Linked DNA regions of Oryzias latipes. The main gene of each other region encodes a partner of the protein of the gene in region 2 in a complex. Links are inferred from orthologs where the notes say so. Each region holds a gene or a part of one and is shown on either strand. Other genes may lie near its edges. The genes, in order: ksr2 and map2k1.

The links.
Region 1: the proteins of map2k1 (region 2) and ksr2 are in contact, whole or in part, in a crystal structure (PDB 7UMB), measured with the Homo sapiens proteins. The link is inferred for Oryzias latipes from reciprocal best matches to the Homo sapiens genes MAP2K1 and KSR2. Residues at the interface, in NP_002746.1 of Homo sapiens: Val81, Glu102, Met219, Ala220, Asn221, Ser222, Phe223, Val224, Gly225, Thr226, Arg227, Ser228, Met230, Arg234, Leu235, Gln236, Gly237, Met308, Ala309, Ile310, Phe311, Glu312, Leu314, Asp315, Val318, Asn319; in NP_775869.4 of Homo sapiens: Lys674, Arg818, Asp820, Lys821, Leu822, Arg823, Ile824, Gln825, Asn826, Ile837, Arg838, Gln839, Leu840, Ser841, Pro842, Gln877, Pro878, Ala879, Glu880, Ala881, Ile883, Trp884, Gln885, Gly887, Thr888, Met890.

The regions. Positions count from the first base shown.
Region 1 is NC_019867.2:3,337,550-3,341,585, forward strand, and holds part of ksr2 (kinase suppressor of Ras 2), read right to left. Parts: intron 3,499-4,036; coding exon 3,450-3,498; intron 2,934-3,449; coding exon 2,572-2,933; intron 1-2,571. UniProt on the Homo sapiens protein: Location-regulated scaffold connecting MEK to RAF. Has very low protein kinase activity and can phosphorylate MAP2K1 at several Ser and Thr residues with very low efficiency (in vitro).
Region 2 is NC_019864.2:16,494,862-16,498,853, forward strand, and holds the start of map2k1 (dual specificity mitogen-activated protein kinase kinase 1), read right to left. Parts: upstream 2,801-3,992; coding exon 2,718-2,800; intron 1-2,717. UniProt on the Homo sapiens protein: Dual specificity protein kinase which acts as an essential component of the MAP kinase signal transduction pathway.

The DNA.
Region 1 (4,036 bases), on a different chromosome or scaffold from region 2:
TTTATGTTTCCACAAATGTAAATAAAAATCAATGCACTTCTATTGATGTGTTGAGCTGCGGTGAAGCCGGGAAAAAAAGCAAGAAAAGCTGCATTTGAAGAAACTTTTTTTTTTTTTTTCTCCCGTCAGTGTGACGTCTGAGGCAGAGTATTATTGGATGACTGGGCCACCTGTTGCTCTGACATTTGCAGGTATTTTCAACCGTCAGCTCGCTTGTTCTTTTATACTTTTCATCTGTAAATCTAGTTAAACAGCTGCCACAAAAGAAACAATGTTTAAAAACACTTCTTTGCTTTCTGGAGGTTAAAAAAAAGACTGTGGAAGCTTTCATAGTTAAAAAAAAAAAAACACAAAATAGAAAGGACAAGGATTTTACTTGTCTTTTGTTCAGTCTAAGTAGATAACAGAGGAAATGAGGCAAACGTCTAAACAACTTTTTTCAACATAATTAGCTAATTAACTGAAGGAGAGGATTTCCTGTGATGTTCCCAATGAGCAAAGTTGCTTTTCCGTTTCGACAAAACGTGAAAGCCATTCCCTGAAATAATTACGCGTGTTAACTCGGGCAGGGAATTTCTTCAGTTCACTTACAGTAAGCTACGTTTGCATTGTCTGCTGCCAGACTGTCAAGGCGAAAGCAACACTGCTGCTGCTGCTGTGAGGTGTGGGTGGTACATCTACTCAGCAACAGTGCCAGCCTGTTCTAATCATAACGCCTGCATGTTTCTCTGTCAGACGCTCACAGCAGAGCAGATCTGAACCAACGCTGAAGACCTTTTCCGGCTCACAGCCAGCAAAGAGCATTGGTTCAATCTCGTTTTTATTAGTTTTTCCTCTGTTCAGTCTTTGTGCATGGATAGGATTGCAGTTCTGACAGAAGGTGGACTGTAGTCGTTTTTTATCACTGCTTCTACCATCTCTAATTAACTGTGCGAAACCTTTAATCACAACTGCTCTGACGGGTGGATACGGGTGGTCTGCGGATAAAAAAAATGGGCAAACCTGTACTTGGTCCGCACAAAATATGAAGGTCGTAGACACCTTGGTGAGCCCATAGAGCAAAGATGTTCGTTCAGCTTTCTTCTACGGGCTTCCTGCAGCAGGTCGTGGTGAACAAGTAAACAACACTCAGAGGTAAGTAATAGTGAAGTAGGTGAGTTGCAGGCGTGTCAGACTGATTTTTTTTCTTTTAAGCCTCTAAATCCTGGAGGCTGTACAAGGAGCCCATAGGTGCTGCCTGCATACAGCCTGAGTGTTAGAAATGAGGAAATGAGACAATCAGAGTGTAATTTGTGTGAAGATGGGCATGTATGCTTCACCTGCACACCTTGTGCGTGCAGCATTCACGTGCAGTCAGTAAGGGGCCAGTACTCACACCTTACTACTGACTAGAGTGTGCAGGGCACTGTACGACCACATCACCTGTACATCATAAGTGTGTGTAACTTCCTCTTTACCACACATATAACAATGGTGTGTTCCATTTTCATGACGTCCCATAAGGGTAGCGCACTTCCATGCTGCCCTTAAGATGCGGCCGCTCCTCTCTAAGACCCTCCATAGACCCGGACAACCCAAAAAGCCGCAGCATCAACCCTCGTAAAGGTGCATGTAGCTAAGGCTTAAAATTCACATCGTAAAACAGCACATAGATACAAGTTTGTTTGTTTTTTTGAAAGTCTTTAGAAAATCAGTACTTTTGTGCAAGGAAAGGCAAAGTCCTATTGGTTGTCAAACAACTGGGTGTGTGAAATTTGCTCTCCACATTTGACTGATCTCTGCGGGGAGGGGGGAGCAGCAGACAGCCACACTCAGGAACCATTTGGTGGTTTGACCTCCGCAATTCCACCCCTTATGGTTGAGTGTCATACCAAACAGCACATGTAAGTAAAGGAAAACCAAAAATGTGATCCAAAAACAAAAGCTGACCAGAAAACCACAGGCTTGAGTGAATAATTGAGATAAGGACAATCAAGAAGAAACTGATAATTAGTAACCTAATCCGAATGTCAACAAGAGCCGGAACAGAAACTAAAAACAGGCTTCCTGACAGGATTTTAAGAAATTTAGGATTAAACATTATTCACAACTAAACTAATTAAAAAGACTAAACTAAAGAAAATACAAATTCAGTTTTCCTGTAACTTTTAATGGACTCTCATTCAACCTGTGATAACAGAAAATGTGCAACTGAATAAAAGAAAAAGAAATATTGTTGTCTTTCAGAAACCATCAAAATGAATGAAGGTTAGCATCCATCTAACGTCAACATAAGTTTATGATTCAATACTTTTCTTAAAAATCTCATACTGATTGAATTTAATGGTTGTTTTTTTTCATTGTCAATATGGGACCTAATCTGCAATTTTAAGGACAAAATATTGATTTCAGTCATTTTTATCTTCAAGGAGTCAGGCACATTCTATTTGACTAATATTTGATTCGATTTGATTACTTGTTTGATTCGTTTGATTACATGTTTGACTAAAAAAGTGAATAAAATCTAATCTAACTTGAAATGAGGTTTTGCAGATCACGATGTCATACTGTACTTGACCTCCTGAATCTTACCTGGTGATTATGGCCAGGTGTGGCGGGCTCATGCACGCCCCCATGAAGAGCACCACGTTCTCATGGCGCGTGTTGCGGTAGGCCATGACCTCGCGCTTGAATGCTTTAAGTTGGTCCTCGTTGTCCCGCTCGATGTCGATCAGGCGGATGGCGACCTCGCCGTGCCACCGTCCGTGGTAAACTCTTCCAAAGCGGCCTTTGCCGATCATCTCTCCGATCTCCAGCTGCTCGAAGGGGATGTCCCACTCCTGCAGGAAGATGCTGGTCTGGCTGGCCTTGCGCGGGAAGTTACGAGCCGACAGCAGAGACAGGTTCATCTCCTCGAATTCGTCGCCGGAGTCCTCAACGTTACCGTCCTCATTCTATGGTAAGGCAAAACACAACTGTTTTTTTTGTGCCAGAATGAAAAATTACATTAAAATCTTGGAAATTAAGTTATTTGAACCTCCAGCAGACATTTGGTCAATCTCTTTCATTGCAAGTCCTACAACCAAAAAAGCAAGAATCTTTCATTTTTAGGCTACATCGGGCTCAAGTATTTACTCCAACTACTTTGAGCAAAGAGTAAAAAAAAACAAATAAAAGAGCGTAAAAAGGGTGAATGCCAACAGATTTGATAAATTGCAATAGCATGTAAGTACGTCCAACATTCCAGTGCATGGTATACTTTAAATTTTGTTAAAGTGGCTGCAGTAATGAGCATCAAAGGTCCCCCAGAGTTACCTGGAGGCTCCTCAGAGGTCACTGATAATGCTGAACTAAAGGACGACAAGCAACTGAAGCGCAGATGTTGGCGGCTGCATTTGTTTCCATACTGATGTACATATGTGGACCAAACAGATGTGTGAAAGATCACAGTCCATGCTTAAAAAACTTACGTCCGATGTTGGTTCAACTTCGATCTGAAGTAAATGGTTGCCCTCATTGCTGAGAAAGAAAAAAAAAAAAGCAGGAAAATTGTTAAGTTCTTCTTACTTAAAGGGAGAGAGAAAAATCCTGCACTCTAAGGGAGAGCAGAAATAGTTTGTGAACTTTTTTGACTGCTTAGGAGCTACTAAAAAACAAAGCTGCTGTGTTTAAAATTGTCTTCAAGAAACATTTAACAGAATACTAGCATGACAAAAGATTTGTGCGCATGGAAGTGGAAAGACCCTTCAGGAGAAGAAAGTGCGTGCACTCTGCCTCTGATCGCTGATTAACTGCATCCTGTGTGGGACAAGCTGTTAATAACTCCAACGGAACCCAGAAGCTGTGAGCTTAGACAGAAAGCGTCGCCTTCAGTGATGCTCTTTGTGCACCAGAGCACAAATTCAACCAATATGCTGCAAAGAGAAATGTGAACTCAGCTGCTGGGCTGGATGCAGAAGCTGCCTGATGCCCAGAACCTTTTCAGGGATCTTCCTGCAGGACGCCAAAGACCAGGCTCCTCACTTATGTCATTGCTATGTTGGCTGCATTTTAATCA
Region 2 (3,992 bases):
CTTGAGAAGAGGTTTTGCAATGTAACATGTTCTTGGGTTTCAAAAAATCTATTAAATTAATAGAGCTTTCCTTTAACAGAGCAAAATCCATTCATCCCCTTTTGCTTATTTCTTTTTTTTCCCTTCAGTCTTCAAACCTTTTCTGTTACTTTTTACCATAAGAATGTCTAGTTTGATTAATGACATTTTAATATTCACCTACTTTAAATGAAATGTTTTGTGGAAATAGTTTTTCATAACCAAACACAGCTGGGTTTGAAATGGGAATTGGAATTAAAATAATTGAAATAAATCAAATTACATTGTATTAAAAACGAATTCCGATCATTTCGGTACTATAGCAGTTTTGCGCAGCCCTGAAGTATGATTTCTACATATCATAGGAGCATTGACTGATCTCCTGCTGTAGAGGTCTCCTTCAGCTTCATCACAGCTATGAATTTTACGTCCATGTCGAACCACAACTCACTGATAACTACTCAAAGCTGGGCATTGAGCTCTCCTCTAATGCTCCGTCATGCAGCAAAGACAGGGTTTAAGTGCTTTTATTTTTGTCAGTAGGGCTGCATATCCATGGAAACGAGCTACATGTAGATGTGGGCGGCGTGGGTGTTTTGTCAACAAGAGCTGGAGGTGGAGGAGATGAGAAAAGAACTAGCATGAAACACACTCAACACAATATATGTGGGTGCAACAACCACAGGGGCAGCACCACTTGAGGTGCAGGGGGTGTGCGCACGTAGCCGGCCTTTCTTGTATCCATTCGCGTCATATTCAAGGACATCTAATGGGAGATAAAGGTACGAAAGAAACCCGTTCTGCAGCTCTGCACCGAGCCTTGCAGACAAATGTCAGCAAAAACAGTGGATTTGAAAACAGTTTATGACAAAAATGATGAATATTAAGAAACTTAAATGAAGGAACTCAGATCTGTTAAAAAAAAAAAGAGTAGGCTTCTATGCAGCAAGAGGAGAGTTTCAGATTAGTTAATGAAATATTGTTTTGTCTTGTTATATCTTTGATTCCCTTTCTACCCACAGGGTTAAGGAGATACATTTGTACGCACAGGTGTGTTCAAAACAACATAGGGAGGCAGGAGAATGAGGCTTACACAGTAAAACGTACTTTTGTCAAATTATGCTGACAATAGAAAACTACCCAATGCTTAGAAATGCTAGACATATACATATAACTAACCTTTATGGTTACTTGACTCATTCTTTTCATCACACAAAATGTTTTTTTGCAAAATAGTGGATTTCCTGTTTTGACATACGTCAGTCAATGTTGTTAAAAGTTCATGTCGGAACCTAAAAAATACATTTTGGATCACATGTCAAGCAGCTGGATGGCTCAGTTAGCTGAGTGTAGGACTGGCGCATGGGAAACCAGGCTTCATCCAGTGTTGGTCCTTGAGCAAGACCCAAGGGGGGCCCCCCCCAAGTCTGGGTCTTCCCTGTGCCGGTCCCCAGTCAGCAAAAATACAGGACATCCGACGTAAAAATCACTGCCAAAAACACATGTCCCTTCAGTAAATCGGTAAAAGCTGATTCACTGAGGCGACCTCTGAAGGGATATGCCGAAAGGTGAACAACAACATTTTGGATCACATGTTACTAAGGGCCAGGATTGGAGGAGCTAATGTGAAGAAGAGCTTTCTACAGTTAATATTGATCTGGAGAATACATACCAAACTAGATGACTGCCATCAAGCACTCACATTATAGTCTGTTATGGAGCCATACAGTGTTGAGTTTCACATGGAGCTAGGAAAGTAAAATCTGTGTAATTTAATGGACCTTTTTTTTTCTATATGAATATAGAAAGTGCTTTTTAGACTGTTTCAGATAACTGTCAGAATGTACCCCAAAAAACCTGCTTAAAAAACAACAAGAACAAAGCAACACCTGTTTGCAGGTTAGCATCCTCACATTACATTAAACAGCAGTATTACCACATACTCTCAGCAGTTTAAAAAAAAATATCCCCAATCCTTGATTTAGATTTCCTTCATGTGCTCATTTGCAAAGGCTACAGATCACTTTCAGAGGCTGCATCTAATAAAGAAACCAGAAAGCATCCTGCCTGCACAAACAGGCTTCATAGTGAAGACCATGTTATGTAATGGGATCCAGCTTATTGGTGGAATGACAAAGAATTGTTTCCACAGATTTACACTAAACAAGGTGTCACAACAGGTTTATTTCTCCATTATCATGTTGGTTTTTTTCTCTTTACCTCCAACCCACACAAGCATATCACTAAACAGTGCCTCCCCTCAGAAATCAGCTGAAGAGAGCTGGAGAGCCACTTTATTTCACAGTGATGATTAGATCAGTCACAGTGAGGAGAGCTGTATTAACACTAATCTGTGACAGAGATTTGATTTCTCTGATTCTCTAAGCAGATCCCCTAAATTTAAAAAAAAAACACTGCAATTTTTGTTTATTTGAAACATTTTTACAAATATTTGACGCTATTGTATCTTTGGATTCACTGCTCGTCTTCTTAGTACTGTTCTAATAGAGGTTCTTGTGTTAGTAGTACTTTTTGAACCTATCTTTCTAATCAGTTTTAACTGTGAAATAAATAAATAATCCCACAGTCGGTGCAGACAGTGTCTCAGATTATTGTCACACCAAAAGCTCTAAATTCCTGTGGTAAACATAATTATGTAACATTTCGTATGTGACAAACAGCTGATCGCCAACACTCACTCGGAGGCTCCGGTTCCGTTCAGTGTGTTTCCGTCGGGAATCGGGTTCAGCTGGATCGGTTCTGGCTTCCTTCTCTTCTGCATGTTTTTTCTCAGGAATCGGCCTTTTTGTGGAATGAAAGCCGTGAGGACGGAGGGACAAGGCGGCCAGACGAACCAGTGGAACGAAAACGGAGCAGTGCTGTCACGACCTGCAGACCCAGCGCAGCTGATGCTTCGCTTAACGGGTGGACGTGAGCTGAACGTCACAAAAATGTTTACACCTTGGTCTTCCGGGCACCATGTCAGGCCCTGATTGCAGTGCGCCCTCTGCCGGTGACTGCTGGCATCGCAGTCCTGTGCAGCAGAGGGAAGTTCGTGTATTGTACAGGGGCGGACTTGTTGCACATGTGTGTGTGGGGGGCATTTACAAACATGGTCTAAAATAATTTCCTCAATAGTTTAAATCTGTCATAAAAAGCCCAAATTACTGAAATGGCATAAGACTGCTCGTGTGAAAGTGTTTTGTCCTCCCCTGTCCCTGTGTGGCAATGGACCATTCCGTCAACATCAAGTTAGATAGCAGAGAAAGACTGAACAGCTTTTTTTTAAGAGGCAAGATGAAGCGATTGTTAAAATGATCATTATCATTTTACTGTTAATGCAAGTAAAAAAACACACCTCACACAAAATGTTAACAATTTAAGTTAAACAACAACAAAACTTTTGCAAGAAGAACGACAATACAAGTACAACAGAATAAAATAGTATTTCTTTGTCATTTTTTTCATTGACACCACTCTGTAGGCAGGGAGTTGTTTTGTGCCATCACTCCAGGATTTTTGTGTCTTTTGCCATCTTTTGTCAGCTAATTAAAAAAACAATTATAAGACCCTCATTTGTTCCTTCTTGAAAGTAAGTGGGTAACAACGTAGCTCATTCAATAAATTCAGTGTTGTTGTTTTTAAAAAAAATGTATGTAAAACACATTTCTTTAATATTTTAATGTTTTTCAGTTATTATTCTTTTATCAAAACATTTGGATTCGTGATGCTGTCTAGAAGTGGACCATTGAAAAAGTTATTCGACTGATGATTCACTCAAGGTAAGGATTTGGAGTTTCAACTTCCTGCACATTTTTTAAATATCCGTTAGATAAATCCTGGCAAGCAGTTGGACTCTACTCTAAATAAAACACCTGCAAGTCATTTTCAAGAGAGAACAAACCTTTGCTCTTGTAGATGCCTTCTTTAAGGTACAGCTGCCAGAGGAAATAACAGAAATGTTAGTGAAAATC